Macaca fascicularis: one gene and its partners. The main gene of each other region encodes a partner of the protein of the gene in region 2 in a complex. Links are inferred from orthologs where the notes say so. Each region holds a gene or a part of one and is shown on either strand. Other genes may lie near its edges.

Region 1 (3,746 bases), on a different chromosome or scaffold from region 2:
AATTTTCTGAAAATTTGGCTATGAAAGGGAGTAGAGGAAAAACAGGGTGGTAGCTGAAAGAGGATGTGATTTCTAAAGAAGCTTTTCTTTTGAGCATCTCGCTCTGTCACTCAAGCTGGAGTTCAGTGGGGCGATCACCACTCAATGCAGCCTCAAACCCTGGGCTGAAGGGATCCTCATGCCTCAGCTTCCGGAGTACCTGGCGCACGCCACGTAAGGCTAATTCTTTATTGTTGTTATTATTATTAGTAGTAGTAGTAGTAGTAGAGATGGGGTTCTATCTTGCCAGGCTGGTGTGGAACTCCTGGGCTCAAAGGATCGTCCCGCCTCGGACTCCCAAAGTGCTGGGATTACAGGCGTCAGTCACCGCACCCGGCAAGGCTTTTTTTTTTTTTTTTTTTTTTTTTTTCCAATTATTATTTATTATATGAGACCTTACTAATTTTTTAAAATTCTGATGTAAAAGGGAACATAGAAAGTACCCGTAATCCCGTGTCTGCATGTTAAAAGTAGACGCTTGAAGTGCTCCAGAAAACCCATGGCTCCTCCCCATTCAATCTAGATAAGGCCTTGAGTAAAGAGCACCCATGGGGAAGTCACAAGAACCTAGGAAACAAGTCAGAAACCTGTGGACCTGATACTTCCAATCACAGGCAATCTGTTGCTTGCTCTTCAGCTCATCACACCATCCCCTCAAATTTCTTCATCTACAAGAAAAGGTTTTAAGATAACGGACCCTGAAAAACTAATGACATTTATACACCCTCTCTGCACAAGAATGTCTTGTAACACATAACCTTGCTTGCATTTTCTGGGGTCCTCGGGGTCCAGCGATCTCGTACAAATCCTCTACCCCACAGCTGACGTCCCTCGGCCCGTGACACAAGGCGCAGGCGCAAGACGCGGCCCGCGGTGGGCGGGGGAGGGGCGGGGCGCGTCGGGCGGCCGCGCCCTCGAAGCTTCCGCCAGGCCCTTCCGGAAATCCAGTATCGTGGGGCGACGGCGTAGAAAGTGCTTCCCGGAGCGCCGAAGAGGTCATCAATCATGTGACGGTGGCTTGAGGAGGAACCTGTCTTTAAAGCTGTCCCTGAAGTGACAACGGAGAGAACCAGGCAACCCAGAAACCCCAGGTAACTGGCGCTACTTTGCCTGGTTTGAGGCCTAGTCCCGGAGGTGGCGCGGGTGGTGAGACTAAACAGAAGGAGAGGGCCCCCTCTTCTTTTCTTTGGGCCTAGCTCTTTGGGGTGGAGGGGCAGGGATGGGGTGGGCTGAGGCAAGGCGTGCCAGCTGAGTACCCGTGGGGGTGTTGGGGCACTCCGACTCCCACTGGGCTCGCTGGGCCAAGCCCTAGAACCGCGGGGGTTTTGCCGGGTTCTGACCAGGGCTGATCTTGCTTATTAAGTTGGGGGTGGGGAGGACGAGGAAGCCAAAGAGGTAAGAGTCACCGGGAGTTTCTCTTCCAGGCGTGGAGATTGATCCTGCGAGAGAAAGGGGTTCATCATGGCGGATGTGAGTGACACCCCCACATAAGAGGAAGGGAGAGTGGGGAATTTGGAGGGGAATACTGAGCGGGGAGAGGTAGAAGATCCTCCCATCCCCACCCATCCCAGTTAATTATTTTCTCTTGTATGTGAAATGGGAGACTAATATGAATGAATTTGCAGGATCCTGAGTTTCTGCCTCGAATGGGGGTGGAGGACACTAAGGTGCTTGAGACTGAGAAAATTATATTCTCCCTACTCACCAATCCAGCTGGGGTATAAGAGAGGCTCTGTGTATTTACCATTTGAAATTCTGAATGATGGTTCGCTGCTTTTCCTGTCAGAATTTGGTCAGTAGGACATGTACCCAGAATACTTTTTTCCAGTAAGTGGTAACAATATCTTATTAGGTTTATTGTGGCAATTTACGATGATTTCTAACCCATGCCTCTTTAGAAACATAACATGAAATAAAATGAGGGGTGTGTGTGTGTGTGTGTGTGTGTGTGTAGGATGAGAGCAAAAATAAGCCAATAGTCATAACATGAAATAAAATGATCATTCGGGTTTGGAGAATAGTAAGTGTTGGAGGCTCAAAACAACAGATATCTGATTAATCCATGCGAGGTCAAAATTGATACCTCAAGTGTCAGTGAAATTCCTGGGATGAGAGAGTGTAATGAGACAAAATAAGATAATCTTCTGGCCGGTGAGGTGGCTTCGTCTGTAATCTCAGCATTTTGGGATGCCGAGATGGAAGGATCACTTGAGGCTGGGAGTTCAAGATCAGCCTGGGCAACGTAGCAAGACCCCGTTATACAAAAAGAAATTTAAAAACCAGGCGCATTGATAACCCTGTAGTCCCAGCTATGCTGGAAGTGAGGCGGAAGGATTGCTTGAGCCCAGAACTTGGAAGTTGCAGTGAGCCCCAGCTTAGAAAAATAAAATAGTCTTATATTTCTTTAGTCTTAACTGTGTTTAGTGTTAAACACTTGACACACTTCGCCATTTATCTTATATTCTGTAAGTCTGGGCTGGGCGTGGTGGCTCACGTCTGTAATCCCAGCACTTTGGGAAGCCAAGGCGGGTGGATCACCTGAGGTCAGGAGTTCGAGACCAGCCTGGCCTACATGGTGAAACCATATCTCTACTAAAAATACAAAAAATAAGCTGGGACGTGGTGGTGGGTGCTTATAATGCCAGTTACTCGGAGGTTGAGGCAGGAGAATCGCTTGAACCTGGGAAGCAGAGGTTGCAGTGAGCCGAGATTGCGCCATTGCACTCCAGCCTGGACAGCAAGAGCAAAACTCCCTCTCAAAAACAAAAAAAAAGACTGTTGCCTCACATAGTCATATATAATTTATTTTAGGTCCTTAAACAGAATATTTTAATAATTATGTTATAATAATATGCCTTACACTGTTTCATTATTTGTTGAGTAGGTGAGTTCAACAAATAATGAAACAATGGAAGGCATATTTTTATAATGTGAGACAACAGTCTTACAGAAGTCATATCACCTTACCCAAGACCATTAAAATGATGGTGGAAAGTCTATCTTTGAACCTGGAAAGGTGTTTATAATGTCTTCTCAAGTGAACACAATAGCAACAGGATATAAAACACTAGTATGAAAATTATGATATATTTTTATGGCTAAAATGTATTTGTGTTTCCCATTTCTAGGTATGCTAATCCATGCAACTTCTCAAAAAACTTTAACAGCACTCTTATGATGTAGGTTCTATATTAGCCCTATTCAACAAATAATGAAATAGGCTTAGGGAAAAAAGGTTAGTTAACTTACTCCAAGTTGCATGACTAGTAAACATCCAAATCAGACAGAGAAAGATAAAACACAGCAAGAAAGGTTATGAATGATAACTGAACGTCCCTAAAATTTGGATAGGACAGGATCTAGAAAACAGTGGAAGGCCTATTATTATAACATGATTTTTTAATATTCTCTTTCAGGACCTAAAGCGATTCTTGTATAAAAAGTTACCAAGGTAAGAAATTTTTAATTTGTTACTGAATAAATTCTATATGCCATATGTTAATTTTATGAAGTATTTTGTCTGTGTATTTTCAATGTTTTGAAGTATCTCTGAGATTTCCTTTAATATGAATATTTTTTGCCAGCATCATGTCCTCTGGAAAATTTTCGTCACAACCGCTTTCCTCATTTATGTCAATAAGTTTGCCTTCACTGAGTTCTCTGTGTATCTAGAGGGATAGTGTCAGCATTCCCTTGGTCACCTGTTT
Region 2 (3,746 bases):
GTATTCCCAGAAGAGTCTGGTCTGCTTTCACTCTCCACCCGTCGACCTGCAGTGTCTCCCTTCACCCCCAGGGGCTGCTGGTAATTCCACTGAGTCTGAGGCAGGGTCCCCAAGAATCAAAGCTGCCTCAGATTCAGGTCTGTTCAGCTTTGACAGTGTTCCCATCATCACTGGACAAGGGACAAGAACAGTCTCATCCAATCTGAGGTTAGCCCAAGCCAGGTCTCAGCTAGGAGCTGACACCCTAAACCCTTATCTCCTGGATTCATCTTCAGTGCCTCTGCAAGATGCCCCCTGCCCCCCATCTTACTCTCATAGACCTGAGTAGTCAAAAGTAGAATGAATAGGACAGAGGGGCCAGAACCAGCACATGGATGAATATACTTCCTTTATCGAGGGTGACAAACCAAAACAAAAAAAAGACCAAACATGTAAAAACCCAGGGTTCTAGAAATACAAACTCAATTCATTCAAATTCAAGCTCATCCAGACCCTGGTCACAAACCCTCGTGAGGTGCATGTGAGCACCAAGTCAGGGAGAGGGGGCAGGAGTGACTTTGAGGCCAAGAGAGAGGGTGGGAAGGGGATCTCCCTAGGTCCCCTGGTGATCACCCCCCACCCAAACTGGTATCTCCACATTCTCAATGACTATGACGACATACCAGGCTCTGTCCTTTTGGCCCCCACCCTATCCCTGGCCAGAGCTTCAAAGGCCAGTCCCAAAAGGTTCTACCCTCACTTGCTCAGGCTTCTAGCCTTCCTCTTCTCCTCCTTCTTCACATTTTTCTCTGTGATTAGTAGCAGGTTAGGGTACTATATAAGCCGCAGTGAGGCTGGGGGCCAAGGGGGTGGGGTAGAGATGGGAGGAAGAGAGGAGAAGAGCTGTCCAAGGACCCCTCTCTTCACGGGATCCCAAACTGTACAACCAGCTCCTCTTTTGCGTCCACACGGATCTGAGAAAGTGCACTGTAGGCATATGCAGCTATCCTGGAGACCTAAGACAGAGAGGGACCGGGGAGGAGAGGAACAGAGACAGGTGAGGAGGCCGATCAGGAAAAAGAGGGAGGGGAGATTAGATGGTGATGAAGGAGAAGGAGGGAATGATGGGGAACAGGAAGGCAGAGAGAAAGACAGGGATGGGAGAGACAGAAGGAAAAGAACAAAGGGGAGTGAAACAATAAAGGTTGCGGGAAGGAGATAGGAAAGACATATGTTAAGAGAACGAGGTGAGAGGGAACTGGGGCCCACAAGGCTACCAGGCTCCCTAACTCCATCTTCCCTACCTCCTCTGAGGCAGAGTGGGTGAACCCTCTGCCACACCCTGGGCAGTGTGGGAAGGGTGGGCAGGGGCAGGCAAGGGGTGTCTCACCTGCTGCAAATCAGAGAACGGGATGGGCTCACTGGCCAGCACTTGGTGGGGCTGGCTTGTAAGAGACGGCAGCGGTGGCAGCTTCTTCCAATGGGTCAGGCTGCTGCTCAGCACAGCCAAGCGGGTGCTGACCGAGAGAGGGGGTGGGGGTACGCAGTTAAGCCACAGTTTGCCCTGCCCAGCCCAGGTAAGCCTCATCCCCTCAGGCCAGAGAAGCAGGGTGCTGAGGGGGGTATCTGGGAGGGAAGGTCTCAGCTCATCACAGACTCACTCTAGGCCCACCTCCCTTGGCCTCAATGCCCTCGAGAGTGTCACAGGGTAAACAGGGCTGACATGAATATTTACTGAAGCACCCAAGTGATCTGTGGTCAGTCTCCAGGGCTGCACCAAATGAGAAGCTTGGACTAGGGGCCAGGCTCCAAAGCTGGAACAGTGATGGAGGGTAGGAGCCCAAGTAGCCTGAGGGACCCACGCTGGCCAGGTGCTCACCTGTACTGCCTGGCACGGTCCATGTACTCATGCTGCTCCATGCCCTGTGAGTCTGCAGCAGATACATCAATGATGTTGCTTTAGGGAGAAGAGACAGAGATGACATGACAGGTGCTTTTGAGAAGGACAAACAGGACTCAGTGCCAGGTACCAACTCCAGGGTTATCTGACTCCAGTTTCCCTCCTGCCTACTGGCGCAGGGCTGGACATGGAGGCACCTCTCTCCAGTGACCTTATCCCATCCCCCATGTCCTGAGCCTCGCTCCTTCTATCCTGGCCTTTAATATGGATAGAGGAGCTCTGACCCAGGCCTGGTCCTCTGACATTTACCTGGCTGTCTTGGCAAGGATGGAAGAGAGTAGGGCCTGCTCATCAGTGCGAGCGGAAGGCAGGCTGTGGTAGTTGGGCTCGGCTCCATTGAGAGCTTTGGTAGGGGGGCTGCTAGGGTCCAGCAGCAGCTTCCGTTCCTCTCGGTCCTAGAAGTGGTCATGGGAGAGAAGTCAGCCCCAGGACCCTTAGATCCTGCCTTTCATGGGTGCTACCCTCAGCCCAGCTCTGACCTTAAACACCAAAAATATTTCTATAAGGAATATCCAAAGTGCCCAGCTTTATGGAATGCCAGATAAGACTCAGTTCCTGCCTATCCTTGGGAGCTCAGCTGAGTTGGTGTTCTAGGATAAACGAGAGTGGAGCCAGGCAGTCCTAGAGGCCCTGAAAAAAGGGACAGAGGCACAAAGCAGATAGTCAGCAACAGCCCTGGAGCTTGAAAAACATTCTAGGACCTGGCAGAGAAAGGATACTAGAGGCTGGAAGACAGAGGAGCTGAGACATAGCAAAGCAATGGGAGCTAAAGGGGAAACCAGTGCAAGTCAGGAGCCCAAGAACAGCCCTCCTCATCCCCCAGGACCAGGCCCTCCGCAGCAAAGCTGTTTCCTTCCAAGATGGAAGCCCTGGTGAGTCCAGACAAGGCCCTAGGCCCCAAGGGAAAGCAAGCCCAACCTCTCCATGGCCATTTCTCAAATTATGTCAGGGCAGGAATCCCAGCCCAGCTCTGGGTCACACAGTACAAGTGTGTTCCCTTCTTGAAGGCAGGTCCCTAGGAAGGTGTTCACCCTCTTATGCTCTGGTGCTCTTTTTCTATGTGACTCCCAGAATCAAACTGAGTGTACGAGGTGTATCCTGATCTGAGCAGTAGAGCTGTACCCGTGTGTGGTGATTCATACTGGGAATCCCAACACTTTGGGAGCCCAAAGCAGGAGGATTGCTTGAGTCCAGGAGTTTGAGACCAGCCCGGGCAACAAAGCAAGACCTTGTCTCTACAAAAAAAATAAAAAATTAGCTGGACTTGGTAGTGTGAGCCCTGCAGTCCCAGCTACTTGGGAGGCTGAAGTGCGAGGACTGTATGAACCCAGGGTTTGAGGCTGCAGTGAGCTAGGATTGTGCCACTGTACTCCAGCCTGGGCAAGAGAGCAAGACCCCATCTCAAAACAAACAACAATGGAGCTATTCCCGCCCTTGCTAAACCACCTGAGTAGCCCATGTAAATTTTCAGCAGCCCTGTTACTGCTGGCCTATGCTGATAATCACAACCCCTGAACTAACGTAAGACCAAACCAAGCTTCCTCACTGGTTTGGTCTTACTACTTGTCCTGTTTCAGTCCCCTGTTCTATCTACTGTAATATTTCTGGATTTGACCCTGCCTTGAGTCCATCAGCTGCAAATCCTTGAATGCTGTTATCAGTGGTAAATTGGAAAAACAAACCTGCTGGGTATCTATCCAACCCATAAAGAGCAAGAGTGCCCTGGACAAAGCCAAGGATGGGCCCAGGGGGACATCCTGGCTAATGCTGACTCACCAACCTTCAGTGTCAGACTCCTCAATGCTCC
Region 3 (3,746 bases), on a different chromosome or scaffold from region 2:
ATATACTGATTCCTCCTTTAAAATATCTTCTCCCAGCCAAGCACAGTAGCTCATACCTATAATCCCAGCACTTTGGGAGGCCAAGGCAGGAGGACTGATGGAGGCCAGGACTTCGAGACCAACCTGGGCAACATAGCAAGACCCCTGTCCCTATAAATTTTTTTTTTTTTAATGGCTGGGCGTGGTGGTGCTTGCCTATAGTTCTAGTTACTTGGGATGCTGAGGTGGGAGGATCGCTTGGGCCCAGGAGTTCAAGACTGCAATGAGATGTGATCACACTACTGCACTTCAGCCTGAGTGACAGCAAGACTCTGTCCTAAAAAAAAAAAAAAAAAAAGGGCCGGGCGCGGTGGCTCATGCCTGTAATCCCAGCACTTTGGGAGGCTGAGGTGGGCAGATCACAAGGTCAGGAGTTCGAGACCAGCCTGGCCAACATGGCAAAACCCCATCTCTACTAAAAATACAAAAATTAGCCGGGTGTGGTGGCATACGCCTGTAATCCTAGCTACTCAGGAGGCTTAGGCGGGAGAATCGCTTGAACCTGGGAGGCGGAGGTTGCCCTGAGCTGAGATCATGCCACTGCACTCCAGCCTGGGCCACAGAGCGAGACTCTGTCTCAAAAAACAACAAAAACAAAAACAAAACTCTTCTCTCCTTGCTCCTTCTTACTGCCACTTGCCCAGTCTCATCTCTTTTTTTTTTTTTTTTTTTTTGAGACGGAGTCTTGCTCTGTCACCCAGGCTGGAGTGCAGTGGTGCAATCTTGGCTAACTGCAACCTCCGCCTTTCTGGTTCACGCCATTCTCCCGCCTCAGCCTCCCGAGTAGCTGGCGCCCACCACCACGCCTGGCCAATTTTGTTTTTGTATTTTTAACAGAGACAGGGTTTCACCGTGTTGGCCAGGATGGTCTAGCTCTCCTGACCTCGTGATCCACTCGCCTTGGCCTCCCAAAATGCTGGGATTACTAAAGACCTGAGCCACCTATGCCTGGCCCAGTCTAATCTCTTAATGATGCCTCCTTCTGCCCATCTTCACATCACTAACAACAATATTGCTCAACCACCTCACTGGGTCTTGTTTCTGTTTAAAAAACCTTTCAAGCTGTATTACCTCCAAGAAGAATAAGTTCAAGTGTGTTAACCTGGCCTTGAAGATCCTTCACAATCAGATCCTCCCTGACCATATCTTCCTCTTCCCTCAAATCTTCCCAAATCTTTTCAGCACAGACTTACCATCAGTTTAGAAAGGTCAGTGCCACACACCTGCAAATATGTCCACCTCCCCACTGTAAATACTCTCCTTTAAGCTGGGCTGAATTCCTACCTCCAGGGAAGTTAGTTACCTTGTCATAACATGTTGAATTTTTAATATCCTGGATTCCTTCAATAGTCTTTTACCACCTGTATTGTTTTCAACACTTAACCTTAAGCTTTGTCTCTAGCTAAATCAAAAACATCTAGAGACCTAACACTATACAGTACTATGGAACAAAATACAAATGACTCTTTAAGAAATATCAAATAAAGGCCAGGGATGTTGGCTCACGCCTGTAATCCCAGCACTTTGGGAGGCTGAGGCAGGTGGATCACCTGAGGTCAGGAGTTTGAGACCAGCCTGGCTAACACGGTGAAACCCCGTTTCTACTAAAAATACAAAAAATTAGCCGAGCGTGGTGGCACATGCCTGTAATCCCAGCTACTCTGGAGGCTGAGGCAGGACAATCGCTTGAACCCCGGAGGCGGAGGTTGCAGTGAGCGGAGATCGCACCACTGCACTCCAGCTTGGGCAACAAGAATGAAACTCAGTTTCAAAAAGTGTAAATAAATAAATAAATAAATAAACCGCAACCGTTAGGAGACTAAGATTCCACAGACTGATTACTGAAAGTAATTGCAAAAACTGCAAATACTTTTGTACCAACCTAATAGATGCCAGACCGCAAACCAGGTAAAAGTCGAGAAAAGAAGGGCCAATATTAGAAGGGGTTACCGGGCTGTGTGCACTAAGGGACCCCCTCCCTTTTCCAGAACGCACCGCCAGCACTGCACCTTCACTCAGTACCAGGTAGCCGAGCTGGTCTGGGATTCGCTCCAGCCCCTGGGTCAGTGCAGAAGTCTAGTGGGTAAAGATGCAAGTAGTGAGAAGCATGCTAGAGGGATGGATGGCCCCTGATACCCTTCACCTACAAACCCAAGTCTCTTGATTGGCGATGGCCCCAGGTTTTCTCATTCCCCAGCCAGGTCCTTTCCCGGCTCCCTTCCCCCTACATGGTCCTCAATACTGATCTTCCCGAGCCTCCATCTGCCCCCACTCTCGGCCCCCGGGCTCCCCTGGCCTTCCACGCTCCACCTATGCTACTCCGAGGGGACTTCGCTGCCCCACTGGCCCCTGCCCCCAGACCCTCTCTCCACCTCCCCGCCCCTGACCTGCAGACTACCCGCAGCCCCAGAACACCCTCCCACAGACCCCTCCCCAGCATTCCCGTCGCCATCCCTCCCATCTCCATCCCGTCTTCCTCCCCGAGCGGATAGGAGGTGAGGGTGGAGCGCAGACCCACGAGGGGGAAACCACACAGATTGGGGAGCAGAGACGCGGAACCCCCGGCGGGTCCTCCCGCGCATGCGTCCTCACTCACCATCGCAGTCTTCGGTGCTGGTGGAGCTCCCTACCAGATAGGTAGCTTCCGGCTTCAGGCCCCGGTCACGTGCTCGCACCCGGCGCGCTCCTCCTTCTGCTTGCTTCCCTACCCTTTAGCCGCGCCTCTAGCATGAGGATTGGATCGTGGCCACGTCGTCAGACCCAACCAGCCAGTGCGAAGCGCTCCTTCCCGGAGGCGCACGTTGATTGGTGATATCCCCTCTTTAACACCCATCTCTCCGCCTCTCAGTCAGTGCCTGAGCGAGAGGAGGCGGGAGTGCTTCCGCGGAGGGGACGGTGTGGGAGGGCCAGGAGTGGGACAGGGTTGACCGTGTGGCTCCGCGCGCGCTTTCTAGAGTCTGGGTTCCGCCTGAACCAGGATGCCCGCCAGTGTGACCTCCCAAACGAATGCCTTCCCAGGTTTAAGACTGGACCCAAAAAACGTGATAATAAAAGGAAATAACGTGCAATGCATGTAAAAAGCTATTCAAGGCTGGGCGCCCAACCTTCAAATGCTACTTTTATGCCTACTCAAGACCGCTCTTTGTTGAAGACAAGAATTTGTTCCCTTGGCCGGGCGCGGTGGCTCACAACTGTAATCCCAGAACTTTGGGAGGCCGAGGCGGGCGGATCACGAGGTCAGAAGATGGAAACCATCCTGGCTAACACAGTGAAACCCTGTCCCTACTAAAAAATACAAAAAATTAGCTAGGCGTGGTGGCGGGCGCCTGTAGTTCCAGCTATTCGGGAGGCTGAGGCAGGAGAATGGCGCGAACCTGGGAGGTGGAGCTTGCAGTGAGTCGAGATGACGCCACTGCACTCCAGCCTGGGAGACAGCGAGACTACATCTCAAAAAAAAAAAAAAAAAAAAAAAAAAAGATTTTGTTCCCAAAGTGGTTTTTTGTCTTCAGATTCAGTCTGGGACAATGTGATGGTGAATAGAATCACCAGCTAGCCAATGCAGATACAATACTGAATATTCTCTGCAGGAAAAAATTAGAAACAGTACCTTGGAATGATACACACACACACACATACATACATACATACATACATACATCACACAATGTAAACATTGGAAATTTTTGTTTTAAATAATTTCTAGACCT

Evidence for each region.
Region 1: LAMTOR1 (region 2) and LAMTOR3 share a complex: the UniProt entries of both Homo sapiens proteins name them as parts of the ragulator complex. The link is inferred for Macaca fascicularis from reciprocal best matches to the Homo sapiens genes LAMTOR1 and LAMTOR3.
Region 3: LAMTOR1 (region 2) and LAMTOR4 share a complex: the UniProt entries of both Homo sapiens proteins name them as parts of the ragulator complex. The link is inferred for Macaca fascicularis from reciprocal best matches to the Homo sapiens genes LAMTOR1 and LAMTOR4.

The regions. Positions count from the first base shown.
Region 1 is NC_088379.1:105,533,864-105,537,609, reverse strand, and holds the start of LAMTOR3 (ragulator complex protein LAMTOR3), read left to right. Parts: upstream 1-1,040; 5' UTR 1,041-1,185; intron 1,186-1,463; 5' UTR 1,464-1,500; coding exon of another isoform or gene 1,501-1,509; intron 1,510-1,825; 5' UTR 1,826-1,842; coding exon 1,843-1,866; intron 1,867-3,455; coding exon 3,456-3,490; intron 3,491-3,746. UniProt on the Homo sapiens protein: As part of the Ragulator complex it is involved in amino acid sensing and activation of mTORC1, a signaling complex promoting cell growth in response to growth factors, energy levels, and amino acids.
Region 2 is NC_088388.1:70,859,931-70,863,676, forward strand, and holds the end of LAMTOR1 (ragulator complex protein LAMTOR1), read right to left. Parts: intron 2,335-3,746; coding exon 2,189-2,334; intron 1,937-2,188; coding exon 1,859-1,936; intron 1,497-1,858; coding exon 1,370-1,496; intron 996-1,369; coding exon 903-995; 3' UTR 372-902; downstream 1-371. UniProt on the Homo sapiens protein: Key component of the Ragulator complex, a multiprotein complex involved in amino acid sensing and activation of mTORC1, a signaling complex promoting cell growth in response to growth factors, energy levels, and amino acids.
Region 3 is NC_088377.1:48,816,008-48,819,753, reverse strand, and holds the start of LAMTOR4 (ragulator complex protein LAMTOR4), read right to left. Parts: upstream 2,713-3,746; 5' UTR 2,639-2,712; coding exon 2,636-2,638; intron 2,116-2,635; coding exon 2,035-2,115; intron 1-2,034. UniProt on the Homo sapiens protein: As part of the Ragulator complex it is involved in amino acid sensing and activation of mTORC1, a signaling complex promoting cell growth in response to growth factors, energy levels, and amino acids.